3 linked regions of the Sus scrofa genome follow. The protein of the gene in region 1 purifies or fractionates together with the protein of each later gene. This does not show direct contact. Links are inferred from orthologs where the notes say so. Each region holds a gene or a part of one and is shown in the gene's direction. Other genes may lie near its edges.

Region 1 (6,138 bases):
GGGTCCAGAAACTTCTCCCCATATCAGATCACTTGTGTTGCTCTGACTCAGAAAAGTGTCATTAGTTAAGCCAACATTACTTCATTTTGCCAGGTAAAATGTCTTGTCTGTCAGGCTGACATGGCACCTATTTTTGTTGTGCCAGCTGAAGGCACGTCCAACCAAATAAGTACCTGAGCCACAGAGCAAACAGCTCAGCGGTAATGGTGTAAGCTTTTCATGTCACTAATGGTGGGATGAGGCCAGGGTTGTACTTCTACTTTGTTTGTCACAGGGGAGGTGAGCTGCTAGAACCCACGGCTGGGGCCCACAGCAGAGCAGAGTATAAAGGCCAGGGAAGCCCCACTGGGCCCATCACTCCCTCCAGCAGTCCTGGCAGGACATGGGGGAACCTAGGGGGGCTGTCCAGAGGCAGTCTCCTCTGGGGCCTGGGAAAGCTTACCTCAGACTGTCTTCACTGTCCCCGTCCCAGACGCCCCCAGGGCTCTGCCTGGTTGTCTTACACTTTTAGTGTTTGGGGGGGCTTTGTTTTCCCTTTTTGCTGCAGGGGGGTCCTGTGGAGATCCTTCCCTTCCTCTACCTCGGCAGCGCCTATCACGCGGCCCGGAGAGACATGCTGGATGCCCTGGGGATCACAGCCTTGTTGAACGTGTCCTCCGACTGCCCGAACCACTTTGAAGGACACTATCAGTACAAGTGCATCCCCGTGGAGGACAACCACAAGGCCGACATCAGCTCCTGGTTCATGGAGGCCATCGAGTACATTGGTAGGCTGGCTCTGGCCAGAGTGCAGGCTCCAAGGCCTTGGGGTGGGGGGAAGGAGGCGGGAGGGGAGAGGGAACCACTTATAACTGGTGTGTGGAAGGAGGGATTCAGGATGGGCTATATCTAGAGGCTGCCTGTTTCCCCTCATCCTAGGGGGAAGGCTTGCCCTGGGATGTTGTGTCAGGGACAGGAAGACAGACTTACAGGAAGAGCAGGTGCCGCTAGCTTATGGAGCCAAGAACCTTTTCTTTGGACTTCTGGGGCTGCAAGGAAAAGACTTGGGGCCTGGGGAGGAAGGCAAAGGCACAGTCAGGTCTTTGTTTTTGTTCCTGCAAATGAAAACCCTTTAAAGAAGGTGTTCTGGGATTGAGGAGGCTTTAGCACCTAAGCTAGTACATTTGTTTGGTTTGGTCTGCAAAGTGCCCTAGAAGGGGTGGAATTCCAGAGGCCCTTCCCCGTAGGTTTCCTCTTCTCTGGCCTGGGCCTGGGCTGGCTATTCCTTCAGTGCTTTGGCAGCAGGTGGGGTGGGCATCCAACAAATTGACCCCCGCACCCTGGTCCTGGCTGAGGGGTGGGGACTCCGGGGCCTAATGGCACCCCACTCTCTGCCCCAGATGCGGTGAAGGAGTGCCGCGGGCGCGTGCTAGTGCACTGCCAGGCTGGCATCTCCCGCTCAGCCACCATCTGCCTGGCCTACCTGATGATGAAGAAGCGCGTGAGGCTGGAGGAGGCCTTTGAGTTCGTCAAGCAGCGGCGGAGCATCATCTCGCCCAACTTCAGCTTCATGGGGCAGCTGCTGCAGTTCGAATCACAGGTGCTGGCCACGTCCTGCGCGGTGGAGGCCGCCAGCCCATCGGGCCCCCTGCGCGAGAGGGGCAAGGCCACCCCCACCCCCACGTCGCAATTTGTCTTCAGCTTCCCGGTCTCCGTGGGGGTGCACCCGACCCCCAGCAGCCTGCCCTACCTGCACAGCCCCATCACCACCTCCCCCAGTTGCTAGAGCCGGCTCTCTGTCCAGCCCGGGTGGCCCCTGTGTGGGCAGCAAGGCAGGACTGACCAGCAGGGGGTAGACAACAAAGCTCCTTCCATCCATCTCTCTTTGGCCAAACGTGGGGCCAGCTAGATTGGCAATAAGGACCTCGAATACATATTTAATGCCAACAGGCAAAACACTCCAACTTAGAGCAATAACGGCTTCCTCGGCAGGCAGGGAAGACCTGGGTTTTGGTTTGTGTGTCAGTTTTACTTTTCAGATAGGAATTTCTTACCTCATTTTTTTTTAAGCAGTAAGGCTTGAAGTTATGAAACCCACAGATCCTGGCAAATGTGCCCACCCAGTTTTATTAAGGGGGGAGGGGAGGGGAGGGAAGGGACAAGGCGAAGATAAGTTTGCCAGAAGTGCCTGGTTCTGTGTGCTTGGTCCTTTTGTCGTAATTACAGGATTTTTTTTTTTTTTTTTTTTTTTTAAGGAAGTCTTTTAGGACACGGTTTTCCTTTTTTAGTCACCAACCACAGATGAATAATTATACTTGGTAATAAATAAAGGTATTTATTAAGAATTTCCTCAGTGTATGTAAGTAAAAAAGTCCAGTGACAGTGAATTTAGAATAGATTTACCTGGATGCAGATCAGCGGAACTCAGTGGCAGGCGGACGGCAAAGCTGTTAGGAAGTCAGTGGTGTGTACAGGTTAGTGTGATGGTCAACGTGCATTTGTTACCGCTGAGAAGCGGCAGGGTGAGGGGGTGGGAGGAAAAAAAGAAGGGATTGCTTTTTCATTACAGTCGCCTTTCCCAATCCGTGGAGGATTGATTCTAGCCCACCTGCCCTCCTTCTGCGGAAATCTGTAGATTCTGCACCCTCAGAAACCTGCGGATACCACGTCCACCGATTCGGAGAGTTACTGTACTTTTGAAGTTGGTTTTTCGGCGCATGGACCACTGATGCAACAATACAGCTGCTTCTGGTGATCAGTAACCCAGTGTAGCTGTGGAAGCATTTTTCCCTGCCTGAGAATCTGCGTATCCTCTGTGATAAATGCCATATCATATAAGGTGCTCCAAAAAAATTGGGTGCAGTTCAGATGTTCCTACAGTGAATCGTTTGGCAAGGCCACTGGGGAACCCCGCTAATGAGAGGCCCGCAATGGATCCTTTTGGAAGTGGAAGCACCATCTCTTTTCTCCTTTGCATAAATCGGAGTTTTTAATTTTAGGGGGTTTGCTTGGAATGAAAGTATACCAACGAATTCTCGTGTTCTTAAAATTCCTGGTTTAGATGAATATTGTAAAGGCTGTCTTGTATAAAAAGGGGAGTGGACACCCCATTTCAGGTCCTGTGGAAATCTAGGTCGGCAAGAGGGCGTGAGTGAGGAGTGGGGCAGACTCATTTGCGTGGGAGCTGGCTTCAGGGCTTCTGTGAGGGACACCAGGGGCGCTCCGAGGCCGTTTGAGATCCTTTCTTGGAATATTGGCATTTTCAGGGCCTTTCCAAATGGAGGAATGGCTTTTGGAGAAAGAGGAGGTGGGGTGGGCTTTGGGGGAGGGAGGAGGGAACACACCACGTGTTATTTAATTTGTAGTATTGTGGAACAGTGCTGTTAGGAGTGCCAGGTTAGAGGTAATTGCAAACTTGTCTAGAAATGAGAGCATGTTTTTTTTTGTGTGTGTTTTTGTGTTTGTTTTTTAAGCCCTCTGAGGATCTACGTGATGAACATTCTTGCTCACCCATAAATAACTTCAAGCCTCAATGTCGGGACAGTGTTGGAATGCTCCTTCTCATCCCCGCCTCCCAGGCAGGACCGGGTTCCCTACATTTCCTTCCATAAACATGAACCTGTGTTGGCCTCATTTGCCCTGACTTTTGTCTAGCCCTGTCTTGGGTGTGGCCAGAGTTCCCACTTCCTGTTTTTAGAAAAGCCTTCCCTCCTGGGAGCTGCTTAGCTGAATCATTAGGGATGAGATGTCGGGGGCTTGGGGTTCCTGGACAATGGGCCTATTAGAGATGGCAAGCTGGACATTCCGACTTTCCCCTTGATTCCTGGAAGTTGCTTTATGTTTTGTGATGAATGAGGTTAAGTGAATTCTACAACTGAAAAAATATGGGTTCCAACAGGCAGGTAGGTCTGAAAGAGGAACTGCTTTGAGGGGGAGGAAAAGAAGCTTCGGGTGAGTTGCTTTTTGTGGAATGAGTGTACATTTGCCAAAACCTGTGTGCATCCTGCTTTCCCAGACTGGATTCCAACCACACAGACAGTTGGAGCCCAGGACCCGCCCAGCCAGGTCTTTTCTCTGCTTTCCAATTCACGTCTTATATCTCAATGTCAAACCACTATTTATAAAGCCATTTTCTTTGTACTTGATAACAGCAGGAGTCGCAAACTTTTAGAAATGAAATAAGAAATAGGCTTGATTAGAAACGGGGATTTGGGGTCACTATTCTCCCATCAGAAGCCTCTTTTTGATGACTTGGAATATAGCTCTAAGGAAGATGGCATGGCAGGGTCAGTCCAAATGGCCAATGTGTTTCAATAGGCATCTCTCCCATGAAGTGGTTTCTGTGATACGAAATCTCTGTAGCGGTCAGAAAGCATTGCCACTTTCACCCATTATCGACTGTGCTGCTGACTACGAAGGCAGTAGATTCACTGGATCTTTTATGGAGACTGAAGACTGCTGCCAGTTCCCTCCCGGCTGGCATCTGTGTGACCTTAGGGTATTGGTGGAGCCTTCCCCTGGAGTGGGAGCTGCCAGCCTGTCATGGCGTCCTTAGGCCATTTTCCTCATGTCCCCATTCAAGAGGGTTTTCCCCAATGTTGGAGAACCATGAGAAAAAAAAATGTAAAATCCTTGGGAAGATGGACAGGAAGGTAGGATGGTGATTCAGATGAGAGGAGAAGGGGGCTGTTAGTTTGGAATTGGCCACCAAGCCCTTAGGTGGTGGTTCACCTTGGCTACGCATTAGCTTCACCTGGGGAGCTTAGAAAGCCTGCCTGCAGGCTATCCCAGGCTATCCCAAGTGCACCAGGATGTCCAGAGGAGGGACCCAGGCATCAGTAGGTTTCAAAGCTCCCCAAGTGATGCTCTCCCTGTGTAACCAAGTTTGGGCCATGTTGGGTGGCAAGGCAGTCTTGGAGGCCAAGGCTTTGTAACCCAGAGCTTGCTTGTTTTGCCAGGGGTTTGTCACTAATTCAGCGTGGGCTCCAGGCCAGTCTCAGTTCTGCCGAGGGATGAGATATTTTCTGTCAGGAACTCAAGGACATAGGGCCTCCCGAAAGAGGCACTCTCACATAAGCTCCTTTCAAGTCAGCTGATCTTTGGGGGAACTGAGTATAGTGGCTGGATGTTGGTGTTCTTCCTTGGAAGTTGCCTTGTCTCTCAAGGATGGAGAGTAGTGCCACCTCTTTGAGGATACCCCTCTTCCCCTCGGTGTGTGTGGGGGAGACCCTGCCCTTCCTTAAAGTTTTTGAGTCACAGGAGAAAGAGGCTTCTTCAAGACAGAGCAATGCAATACTTGTAACTTCTGTAAATAGCCCCATCTTTCAGAGTGACGTCATTTCTACATTTGATATGCTTGTATTTCTGTAGGATGTATATAGTTTAGGGGATTTTGTTGTTTGGTTTTGTTTTTTAGAAAAGTCAACATGTCTGTTTTTATTTATTGCTTGAAGAAAAAAAATCATTTGAAGAAAAATAAATACATTTTCAACCACCTGTGTCTTGGTTAATCCTTTCCTGAAAAACCGCATTGCTATGATAACTTGGGAGATCTCGGTTATTTGATAATCTTATGTACAAAGTAACGTCTCCAGCAGAGACTGGCTGGTCAATCTGTGAGCTCCCTAATCAGCACTCAAGGGACTTGCCACCGTGGCTCAGCAGGTTATGAACCCAACTGGTATCCATGAGGATGCGGGTTCCATCCCTGGCCCTGCTTAGTGGGTTAGGGATCCAGCGTTGCTGTGTCGAAGATGTGGCTTCAACTGGGGTTGCTGTGGTGGTAGCGTAGGCCAGCAGCTGCGGCTCTGATTTGACCCCTAGCCTGGGAACTTCCATATGCCACAGGTGTGATCCTAAAAAGACAAGGAAAAGCTGGCACTCAAGGAAGGTGACAGGAGAAGGCTGATGGGAATCTCTAAGAACCAGACCTCTAGTCAGAGAAATAGGAAGATGTGAATAATAAGAGACAGATGTGCTTCATCTGAGAGTCTGCTTTGTGCCAAGTACAGGATGAGGTGATAAGAACGGCACCCAGGTGGGAGCAGTCAATCTTAGACATCCTGAGCACAAATAACTAGGGCTATGGCCAAAGATTGCACAAGGAGTCACCACTGCTGGGACACCCTTCCCCATCGATAAGGGGATCCAGCCTGGCTC
Region 2 (6,633 bases), on another chromosome or scaffold:
TGCTCTGATTATACTGTCTTGTTAGCTCCAAGTCTTAATATTATCTAGTGGGAGTAGGAGGTACCTGCCAATACTTCCACCTGTGTATACAGTCACACAATCTCTACTCTTACTCTTCTAGGAAAACTTACACATGCTTTTTTCTTCTATTCTACTTCTCCCTCTCAACAGTCTCCCTATTAGATGTAAACCATGCTTGTGTCTTGCTTTACAGACTGACTCATCAATATCCAACATCTCCATATTAAGTCTCCCATTCATTCTTAGCCTACTCTAAACTGCTTCCGAAAATAAGTACTCCAGGATTTTAAGCCTCCTCTCATATTTGATATTATTGATCACTCCTTTCTTCTTGAATCTCTCTCTCCTAGTTTTCCTTCTACCTCCTGGCAGTTCCTTCTCAGCTCATTTTTTTTTTTCTTAGCCATTCAGTACTGAAGTTCCTCAAATCTGGCTCTCGGCCCTATTTTCATCTTGCTCACTGCCCCCCATCCTTCGGGCCTAGGCTAACTCATCCACACCCAAGGATTCAAGTCACCACTATCTTGTGATTCATAAGTGACTCATATCTTATTCACCTGATTCCAGCTCTGGATACCCAGCTGCTAACTTGGTATCTCTTTGGGGCAGATCAAAAGCCTTCAAACTAGCTGCTCTCACAACCTTTCCATTCAATCCCTGTCCTCTTCCAAGATTCGCATCTCAGTGAATCAATATTGCATTCATCTTTGGCCACAAGCAAGAAATCTATGATTTTCCTTGATGACTACCTTTCCTTCACTGCCCACCTAATCCATCAGCAAGTTCTGTGTATTGGATCTCCTAAAATGTCTTCAGATCCTTACTCTTACTGTTTCCACGACTATCACCCTAGACCAAGCCTCTGCCGTCCGTTATCTAGACTACTCCTATATCTAACTGGCCTCCTTCCAACAAGGAATCCTTTTAAGATGCCATTCTGACCATGCCATCCCCTTTGCTGAAGCATGTCAGGAGCTTCCCATTGCACTTAGGATAAAGACAAGAGTTTCAGCATAGGTAGTATGGCTGTACTAGAATTGGTCCTTTTCCACCCTTCCAAACTTCATCTCATAGCTCCTTCTTCCTTGCTCTTCCACCAGCACCTGGCTTTCCTCAGTTTTTACCTCTGTCTAAAATATTTTCTGTCTAGTTGAATCTATTCTTAGTTCAAGAGGCAGGTCCTCAAGGAAGACTTTCCTGGCTTTATTAACTCTATCAGTTTGTCCCATAATTCTATATATGCATATAAATTTGTATTATGATGCAGTGATCATTTTGTATTTGTTTACTGTTATTTCTATTGTAATATAAGTCTATAAGCTCCATCCTATTGCCAATGTTAGCACAGTACCGGGCACAGAATGGGTATGTAGTATGTATTTCTTTAAGAAACAAAGGAAGGAAATAAAGAAGCCCTGAGAGGGAGGGAGGAATTGGGGAGAAAATGAATAAATGAACATGCACATTAATGCTTCATTTCAGAATCACTGGAAATAGGCCAGCCCAACATAACATGGAAAATAATCTACATGACTTCATTCATTTCTTCAACAAATATCTGGAGTTCCCATCCTAGCTCAGTGGTTATTGAACCCAACTAGTATCCATGAGGATGCAGGTTCGATTCCTGGCCTCACTCAGGGGATTAAGGATTTGGTGTTGCCGTGAGCTGTGGTGTAGGCTGGCAGCTACAGCTCTGATTAGACCCCTAGCTTGGGAACCTCCATATGCCATGGGTGTGGCCCTAAAAAAAGATCCCCCCAAAAAAACCCCGAAATATGTATTTTTCATTATTAAAATAATATACTTTTTTCTGATTATGAACATAACTTGGAAACCATGGAAAAATACTCAAAGTACAAGGAGAATCAATTTACAGCTCAATGATGAATTACTGTTAAAATAAGTTGTCATGTTTCCAGTTTTTTCCTTTTATACACAGTATATAAGCAGGATCATCATCTAACTATCTATATATATAATATACATAGGCTTGATTCTTTCTCTTAATGAAGTATGATGAACATTCTCCTGTGTGGTTAAGAATCCCTTGAACACACGGCATTTAAATTGCTAAAATGTGTTCTTTTGCAAACATGCATGTAATATAGACATCTTTCCACTGGTCAGATATTTAAGGACTTGCCAATTTATCACTTCTACAACAAACATATACATGCTTTGAGGGGCCCAAAGACAAATAGGGCAATGCATGGAATCTTGTAGGAAGTGGATCTGGGGAAAACAGGAGGCAGCTTTTTCCAGGTGGCTGAAGAGAATATTTGCTCGTGGGTTGTTAGGCCTGGAGTAGATGTCCTCAGAATGGGACGTACTGTCAGTCAAGGTAAAGAGCCCTCCGTCACTCAGATGCTTGACCAGGCCGGGGTGCCTGCTCCCTGGGCGGGTCTGGCCTAAGCGCACTGACCTTCAAACCCTGAGGCAAAGAACCCCAGAGGCTTTGCCTAGGAATAGCGTACTGCCCAGGTACACATACTAGGCTCTCGGGCCATATGCCGCCACGTGCCAGGATCAGGGCCCCGCCCCATCCAGCTTCCCGCCACGCCCCTCACAGTCCGCATTCAGAGGCTCTCCCCGCAGCTCCGCCTCCCGGCGACCTCCGCAAGTCCTCCCGGCCCCCTAGAGTAGCCCCTCCCCCGGATGCGGGCCCCGCCCCCGCAATCCGGGCCCCGGGGCTGCCCCGCCCCGCGGCCCGTTCGCGAAGCGCGGGGGCGGGGCCCTGCGCGATGACGTGGGCGGGCGTGCGCCGTGACGGGCAGCGTCTCTGTTACTCAGCTGAGCGGCCGAGGCCGGACGACGCTGCCCGGAGCGCGGAGCCGCGAGCAGCGCTGGGTAACGGCCGCGGCGACCGCCGGGACGGCGCCAGTCTCCACCGCCTAGGTTTTCTGTTGCCGTTCGCTGCGCTGCCAGGTGAGTGTGGTGAGAGCTTGAGGGCCAGAGCCGGCGGCCCCGCGGTGTTTATGTTATTGTGCCGCCGCCGCCGCCACCGCCGCCGCCTCTCTTCAGCCGTGACCCCCTCCCGGGAGTGGGGGCGGGAGCTCGCGGCGGGCGGGGGGCGCGCGGCCCGCGTGGGTGGCGCGGGAACAATAGCTGCGGGATAGGCGGGGGCCGCCCTGGGGGCGTGAGGCTGCGGGACCCTGGCGCGCCCCGCCTGCCCCCCACTCGCCCCCCGCCTGCCTCTCCAGCTCCGCCCGTCGGTCCTCAGGCGTTCTCCTAGCGCGGGTCCGGCGTCCGCGTATGGAGGGATAAATGAAACGGGAGGTTGGTGGCAAGTTCTGAAATACTTCGGCGAAGGTCGGAACGGAGGCGCCTAGGCGGCCCGCCGCGCCCTGGCTGCCTTCCCCGGCAGTGGAGAGCCGGGGAAAGCGTTCCGGTGGCCGGGACCCGACGCCTGCCCGGAGCCCACGGGAACAGTGTTTTGTTTCTCGGTGGTTTCTTTGTGCTTATGTTGTGGGCGAACGCAGGCGGCGGCGCAGAAAGACTGAGGTGGCCTTCAGCAGGGCTGCGAGGGAGAGCCCGGGCCGGTGGCTTGGGCGGGAGGTGCCCGTCAGGCTCGGCGCGAGCTTCAGTGGTCAGCGCGCATTTCTCATGAGGGTCACTCGGTGGTGACCTTTTGACTTTTTCACCCCACCCTCCCTTCTCTTTGTCTTGCACTTCTGTTCACAATCCTTAGGTCGTAGAACCGGGTCTATTTCAAGGTACCGTGATGAACACAAAAGTGTTTTATTTTCATTTTAATTTCTGAAAGTTTCCTATCATGTGTTTACTGTGGACTTAATAACATGTTGACTGCACGTTATCAGACAATGTCAATTGCTTACTATTTTTACCTCTGAAATTCAGTGATCTTTCCCGAAGAATTCTGGTCTGTCAGTCCATTGTGTTTTAAGATAAGCATCCAGCAAGTACCCCCTTGGTAATTAGAACATCTGTTTATTTCATTCATTCATTCATTCATTCATTCAACAACTGTTCAGTACTCTACCCAGATGGAGAGTTTGAGGGTAAAGACAAATATCCTTTAATGGAAGAAGATACTTTGAATGGATGTACCTTTAAATGAGATTTAAATGAAATTATGTAAGTAATGTGTGTTAAAGAAGGTATAGCTATATTCTGGGTCATTTTACTGTTTTGGTAGTACATCTGGAATGTTAGGCGTAACCTTAAATGTATTAGGAAGTAGAGTTATATTTGGTCTAAATGTACAGCTTTCATGTATTTCTTTACAGTCATGTGTAATGTTTACTTCAGAATCCTCTGCTGTGGGTTAAGCCTAGGAGGTTAGATGCTGTGAGTGAACATGTTTAGTGCTGTACCTGACATAACCAAGCAGTCAGAATGGGACTTCCTTCAGGACAGGCCTGTCTTGGATCTGTGTCTCCAACACCTAGCCTGGAATATAGTAAGTGTTAAATAAAACTCAGATCACTGAAAAGCTCTTTACAATTGATAATATTGAAACTCAAGCCTTAACAAAAAGCATTTAATGTTCTTCGTAAAGTTTTGGAAGCCTCATGCAAACGGGTCACATCCAGATGGCTAAATGATCAGTTCGTATATATATTGTCTGTCACAACAGTAAGGGTTTTTGAATCACTTCAGTATCAATTTTTTTTCCTTATTACTTCTGAACTATCCTAAACTTAAATCTTGCTAAAATATTTTTTACTCTGTGTGTCTGTGTATGTGATATGTATATTTCAGTGATATTTCAGTAAGCCTCTAAAATGATTATTTATCCTTTTGTGAATATTACTTGAAATGTTTCTCGATACTCCTTTAAGTGGAAAAGTTAGACCAAAAGAAACAAATGGCATAAAAGTTTTATTAGAAATCCTTAATATCTAATTACATTTTATTAAAGTTTGTTAGAAATGTTTTGGACTAATAGTATTAGGCATATGGGTCTAAAACTCAAAATAATATTTATCCACAGTACATGTCTTTTCTTCTCCCTACTTAATATGTTTTAGCACTTATTTTGGATATGAAAGAATTTGAGGTGAGCTTAAGAGTGCAAATAAAGAAATAAAGTGATACTTTATTAAGATAGGGATGAAAATCTTGAGATACTAAACTTTTATTGCTTTACCTAGTTAAAGTATGTTAAATTCCAGTAAGGGTTACTGATACAAATCCTCTGGTCAGGCTTTAGGTGACAAACCCAAAGTGTTTTTGCTTTGTTTTCTAAACTCTGTTGGTTTTAAAGAATAACAGCTTTTTCAAGATATTATTCACATGCCATAAATTTATCCTTTTAGAGTGTGCTTCAATGGTTTTTAAATGTATTCACAAAATTATGCATTGATCACCTCTAATTCCAGGACATTTCATTACCTCCAAGAAGAAACCCCACACCCATCAGTAGCCACTCCCTGTTCAACTTTACCTTATTTTTAAAGGAAGAGATAGCACTGATTTTGTTTTAGTAAGTGTATGCATTAATGAATTTGAAAAGGACTCCTTCTAAGTATCCTGGCAGAGTGGGAAACTTTATCCTTCATATTACTTTATTTATTTTTTGTTGTTGTTGTTGTTGTTGTTGTTATTGTTGCTATTTCTTGGGCCGCTCCCGCGGCACATGGAGGTTCCCAGGCTAGGGGTCGAATCGGAGCTGTAGCCACCGGCCTACGCCAGAGGCACAGCAACTCGGGATCCGAGCCGCGTCTGCAACCTACACCACAGCTCACGGCAACGCCGGATCGTTAACCCACTGAGCAAGGGCAGGGATCGAACCCGCAACCTCATGGTTCCTAGTCGGATTCGTTAACCACTGCGCCACGACGGGAACTCCCCTTCATATTACTTTAAATCCTGTGAGAAAGGCCACTTGAAAGGGAAATTCGTTTAAGAACAAATTTACCAAAATTAATGAAATTAGGTACTTAAATTTTGTTATTTATTAATTTAGTTAGTTATTTCTGTGCCCATGCCATGTGGAAGTTCCTCGGCCAGTGACTGAACCCAAGCCACAGCTGTAACCAGAGCCACAAGCAGTGGCAATGCTGGATCCTTAATCCACTGAGCCACCAAGGAGCTCCTAATCTTTAAATTTTTGTTTGCTGAGTGCCTAATATTGTGGAAATAACCTGTGTTTATACTCAGTGCTCACCAAAACTACTTGAAGTAATTTATTAAGTGACTAGTCACAAACTATCCTAGTGCCAATTAAGAGGTTGTTGAATAGAAGCCTGATTCTTAATGTCTTGCTTTGTCATTGAGTTGAGTTTTGAGACATATTTGTGTCATTTAAATAGTTGAGATGCTTTGTTGCATATGTATATAAAACAATGTCTGATTTTAAGATGCCAGCTCTCTAGAGGTCTCTGATCAAGTCAGTAGTATGGATGGTAGTCTCTCTGATTCATGTAGAGCAGGGAAGTCATCAAAGCCACATAGCTTTAGATGTAAATCATTTGTCTCTCTGAGCTGTGATGCTTATTGTCTTAGTCATGAGCTCTTTCCATGAACATTTAGTAGCTTTTTCTTCTTGCTTTAAGGCAGATTATTTGAACTTTGATTTCAGAAATGAGTCAACAAACTTTACTACGTAACAGGTGACAGGAGTATTAAAATAAGCTGTTCTATCAT
Region 3 (4,961 bases), on another chromosome or scaffold:
GGATATGGGTGTGAGCATATGAGTATTGGCTGTCCTATTATTTTGTATACGGAAATTTTTCATAGTGAAAATTTTAAAAACAAAATTTTCTTTTATCCAAATACCACGTCTCACCCACACACCCACATAAAATCCTCAGTTTGTTCATTATTTGGCAGTCCATTTGATGTATATTCATTTGCCTTAGGTTAGTAAATAAACAGTGAAAGGGGACAAAAAAGTGTGATACTAGCCCCACTCACCTCTTGTGGATTACTTCAGTTACAGACTGTCATTCTGATAGTTTGACTGCAGTGGGAGCAGTTCAACACTGACATTCCACAAACGTTTGCTCATACATAATCTGTTGTTTTTTTAAATTCTTCTTTAGTAATGTATTCTTTTTGTTTTGTTTTGTTTAGGGGCACACACTCAGCATATGGAGGTACCCATGCTAGGGGTCCAATTGGAGCTGTAGCCACCGGCCTACACCATAGCCACAGCAACGCAGGATCTGAGCCACATCTGCGACCTACACACAGCTCACAGAAACGCCGGATCCTTAACCCACTGAGCAAGGCCAGGGATCGAACCCGCAACCTCATGGCTCCTAGTTGGATTCATTTCCAATGTACTACAACAGGAACTCCTAGTAATGTATTCTTAAAAAATATAAAATCCGGAGTTCCCACTGTGATGCAATGGGATTGATGGTGTCTCTGCCAGACTGGGGACATGGGTGTGATCCCTGGGCTCGCTCAGTGGGTTAGGGATCCAGCATTGCTGCAGCTGTGGCATAGATCACAACTCTGGCTCAGATTCAATCCCTGGCCCAGGAACTCCTCATGCTGCTGGGCAGCCAAAAAAGAAAAGAAAGAAAAAATACAACATCCATCCATGCACGTGCACACATATATTTAAAAGAGGAAAGGGGGAGTTCTTGTCATGGCTCCGTGGTTAACGAATCCAACTAGGAACCATGAGGTTACGGGTTCAATCCCTGACCTTGCTCAGTGTGTTAAGGATCGGGCATTGCGATGAGCTGTGGTATAAGTCACAGATGCGGCTCAGATCCCGAGTTGCCATGGCTCTGGCGTAGGCCAGTGGCTACAGCTCCGATTCGACCCCTAGCCTGGGAATCTCTATGTGCTGTGGGTGCAGCCCTAGAAAAGACAAAAAAGACAAAAACAAACAAACATAAAAGAGGAAAGGGGAGTTCTCGTTGTGGCTCAGTGATAATGGACCCAACTAGTATCCACGAGGTTCAAGGTTCCATCCCTGGCCTTGCTCAGTGGGTTAAGGATCCAGTGTTGCCATGAGCTGTGGTGTAGGTTGTAGACCCAGCTCAGATCCCTCGTTGCTGTGGCTGTGGCCTAGGCTGGCAGCTACAGTTCCCATTCAACTCCTAGCCTGGGAACTTCCATGTGTTGCAGGTGTGTCCCTAAAAAGACCAAAAAAAAAAAAAAAAAATAAAAGAGGAAAGGAGTAACATCCCAGAATTGAAGGAGAATTCTTTGTTTTGGTGTAAAAGGTCAAAACTGTGTTTTGCTTAATAAAGCATACATTTTTGGCAGTGTGTTAAAAACTCTTTTTTCCTTCCAATCTGCATCACTGATAGCTGTTGACTTGCTGGAGAAGATGCTTGTTTTGGACTCAGATAAGAGAATTACAGCAGCCCAAGCCCTTGCGCATGCCTACTTTGCTCAGTACCATGATCCTGATGATGAACCAGTGGCTGATCCTTACGATCAGTCTTTTGAAAGCAGGGACCTCCTTATAGATGAATGGAAAAGTAAGTCTGAGCATGATGAACACGTAGCTTTAAAAATCTTTGCCAGGTGAACCACAAACCAAAAGCTGTCAGTGGGGGAGGGCAGGGGGGTGGGGGGTGGAGGTGCGGACTCCTGGTTAAATCCAACTTGTTAAACCTTGTCGTTAGGTCTCTAATGCAGAATGAGTATGTTCCTCTGATGGAAACTGTCTGTTGTAGATGATGACACTCTGGACCTTTGAGATGCTTCTGTCTGGTCTGATTTTGTGCACAGCCCCTCACGTCTGCATAGAACTTTGAGGTTCTCAGAATTTTTGCATTTATACCATCTTTCCCAGCTAAGTAGGGGATAGGGTGCATTTACAGTTTTATAATTGATAGAACTTGGGTGAAGAAAGTTAACATCTTAACTGTTACCTTAGACCTAATTAGGGACACAGCCAGAAATAGAACCCAGGTCTCCTGTGCTCAGTTTCATAGTCTCTCCATAAAACACACATTCAGAAAACTCCAGTGAAATTTCAAAAGCCAGGACTATCTGTTGCTACAGCAAATGGGATTACTACGTTATTCTCAAGCATCTTCAGAGAGTTTTAAAGAGGAGGCACTGGATGATTAAAGAAGCAATAAAGGATGCTTCTCTTGTATGTATCCTTGAACTTCTGTGGAATCACATGTTCCATCAGGATATCACACACAAACGGTGAGGCAGTTATTTGAAGTGGCCCATGGAACCACTAGTCTGGACAGGGAGGAAGGATCTTGAGCTTAGAAGTTAGGGTGCTTGCCAACAAAATGAATAGTCCGAACTTTCACGTCCTCCTTTTCCTTCCTGATTTCTAGGCCTGACCTACGATGAAGTCATCAGCTTTGTGCCGCCACCCCTCGACCAAGAAGAGATGGAGTCTTGAGAATCCGGTTTCTGTTCTGCTGATCCCACTTCACTGTGAGGGGAAGGCCTTTTCATGGGAACTCTCCGAATATCATTCAAGTGCCTCTTGTTGCAAAGATTTCCTCCGTGGTGGAAGGGGGGGTGTGTGCGTGCCCATGTGTGTGTGTGTGTCTGTCTGTCTGACTTTGTGGGAGGGTAAGAGATTATGAGCAAACTATGATCACAGTGACTTTACGTGGAGCGACCCCTGCTCCGTGGCAGTCTCTGCTTGTTCTTTGTGAAAGTCAGCTGGGCAGCAGGAGCTGCCATCTTGTTAGGGCTTCTTAAAAGCAAAGTAAAAAATGTTAAACATCCCAGCCCCCAGTCATGCTTTTGCCATTTTGGCCTCTCCTGCGGCCACCCTTGTTGGTAGGGGTTTGGCTTGACCACACCCCGCAGAGGCACAGAAGAAGGCTCGCACCGTCTGTTCGCTTCACATCTGAAGCCGTCCCTTCAAAACGTCAGCCAAAAGGACTAGCTGGCTTCTCTGCGCTCATCTATGACTAACTTGCTTAGCATGATTCTCAGAACTCAACAGGTGTACCTAAAACTATAAATGTGTTTGTGCCTTAAAAGGAGAGAAGAACGTGTAGTTAAGAGTGCCATGGATGAAGTTCTGAGCCAGGCAAGTAGTCAGATTGTCAGACGGCCAGTTGTGAACCCGAAGTAACAAGGGAGCCTTCAGAGGCACAGTGTGTGCATGTGTGAGCATGCGTGTGTGTGCTTCCCTCTCCTTCCCCACCTCCCCACCAGGTGTCATTGCCATGCTCTGCTTTCCCCACCTTCAGTGCAGAGGTTTCTTAAGTACCGTTCTGGGTAGTCAGAAGCTGGTTCTTGCTGTCCGTGTACTTCCCGTGTGCTCTTTATTCCTAGCAGAGTGATGTGTTTTGCACGTCTTGCTATTGAGCATGCACTGCTGCTTGTCCTGTTCTCTTTGGGAGGCCTTGGTGCCAGGCAATTTGCCAGTGAAGACTTTGTGGGTAGTTCAGAACACGTGTCACCTCAGCTGATGCTGTGGGCAGGTGATGTCATCCTCTCTTCAGCCCCCAGTGCTATTTTGTGTTGAACACAATTGATACTCCAGGTGCTTTTGATGTGAAAACTATGAAGAAACAGAACAGGTGGATGTATAGCATTTTCATTCTTGCCATCTGGTTTTCAACAAATGACTTTGAGGGAGCTGTCAACCAGGAAAGATCAGGGCTTGTCCCAGGAATATCTCGGACTTTGGAAAACAGGTTGTTCTCTTCACTCCCATTAACCAATGCTAAGAAATTCTGAAAATCAACGTGAAAAATAAAAGCTCATGAGGCCAGAAACTCCTTTTCCTGTCTTTGTCTAAATATGGTTATTTTTTAAAAAAGTAATGAGGTGTCTTTTCCACCCTCCTTTGGAAAAAGGGTCTTCTTGGCAGCTTAACATTGACTTCTTGGTCTTGGTTTGAGGAGAAATAAATTTTGTTTCAGAATTTTGTATATTGCAGGAATCCTTTGAGAATGTGATTCCTTTTGATGGGGAGAGAGGGCAAATTATTTTAATATTTTGTATTTTCAACTTTATAAAGATGAAATATCCTCAGGGGTGGAGAAGAGTTGTTTTCATAATTTTCTGAATTTCAGGCATCTTGTGCTACATAAGGGCCCATGTATTTAAACCTTTTGTGAAAGAAGAAAGTGCAGAGCCATTTCCAGTGTTGACCAGGTGACAGAATCTTGTGTTTGGGCCAAGGTGTCTCCATTTCTGTCACAGTGCAGTGATACATGAACTCCAGAAGGACAGGGTAGAACCCCCAAGTCAACTGGAGCGAGAAGGAAGGAGGCAGCCAGTGGCCATCGCGCCTCACCTGGCATTTGCCCCCTCGTTAAAGGAAAGTGAATGCAAAGGCCTCATCTCCTCTGTATGCACTTCAGATCTTCACAGTCCACACAGCAAGATGAATTTTATCAGCCATGTTCTGCTGTAAATGCTAGTGTGATTTCCTACAGAAATACCACTCTGAATATTTTTTCATAAAGGTCTTTGCACAGGGGACCGTATCCATGCTAAGAGGCTGAATGCTCCAGGAGTCCGGACTCAGCTGGAGCCTGCGCCAGAGCTCCTTGGTTTCCGAGCATAATGCTCCATCTCCTGATTTCTCTGAACAGAAAGCAAAAGAGAGAATGAGGGAATATGCTATTTTATTTGTATTCATGATCTTGGCTGTAATCAGTTATGCCATATAGGATGTCATACAATACCACTGGTTAAAATAAAGCCTATTTTTCAAATTTAGTGAGTTTC

What was found.
Region 2: the proteins of DUSP4 (region 1) and MAPK8 purify together in Homo sapiens (affinity purification with western blotting; 3 studies listed by BioGRID and IntAct, with this or other methods). This does not show direct contact. The link is inferred for Sus scrofa from reciprocal best matches to the Homo sapiens genes DUSP4 and MAPK8.
Region 3: the proteins of DUSP4 (region 1) and MAPK14 purify together in Homo sapiens (affinity purification with mass spectrometry; 3 studies listed by BioGRID and IntAct, with this or other methods). This does not show direct contact. The link is inferred for Sus scrofa from reciprocal best matches to the Homo sapiens genes DUSP4 and MAPK14.

The regions. Positions count from the first base shown.
Region 1 is NC_010457.5:55,502,988-55,509,125, forward strand, and holds the end of DUSP4 (dual specificity protein phosphatase 4), read left to right. Parts: intron 1-547; coding exon 548-767; intron 768-1,379; coding exon 1,380-1,765; 3' UTR 1,766-5,473; downstream 5,474-6,138. UniProt on the Homo sapiens protein: Regulates mitogenic signal transduction by dephosphorylating both Thr and Tyr residues on MAP kinases ERK1 and ERK2.
Region 2 is NC_010456.5:88,986,144-88,992,776, forward strand, and holds the start of MAPK8 (mitogen-activated protein kinase 8), read left to right. Parts: upstream 1-2,770; 5' UTR 2,771-2,949; intron 2,950-6,633. UniProt on the Homo sapiens protein: Serine/threonine-protein kinase involved in various processes such as cell proliferation, differentiation, migration, transformation and programmed cell death.
Region 3 is NC_010449.5:31,856,593-31,861,553, forward strand, and holds the end of MAPK14 (mitogen-activated protein kinase 14), read left to right. Parts: intron 1-1,597; coding exon 1,598-1,771; intron 1,772-1,969; exon of another isoform or gene 1,970-2,051; intron 2,052-2,593; coding exon 2,594-2,661; 3' UTR 2,662-4,952; downstream 4,953-4,961. UniProt on the Homo sapiens protein: Serine/threonine kinase which acts as an essential component of the MAP kinase signal transduction pathway.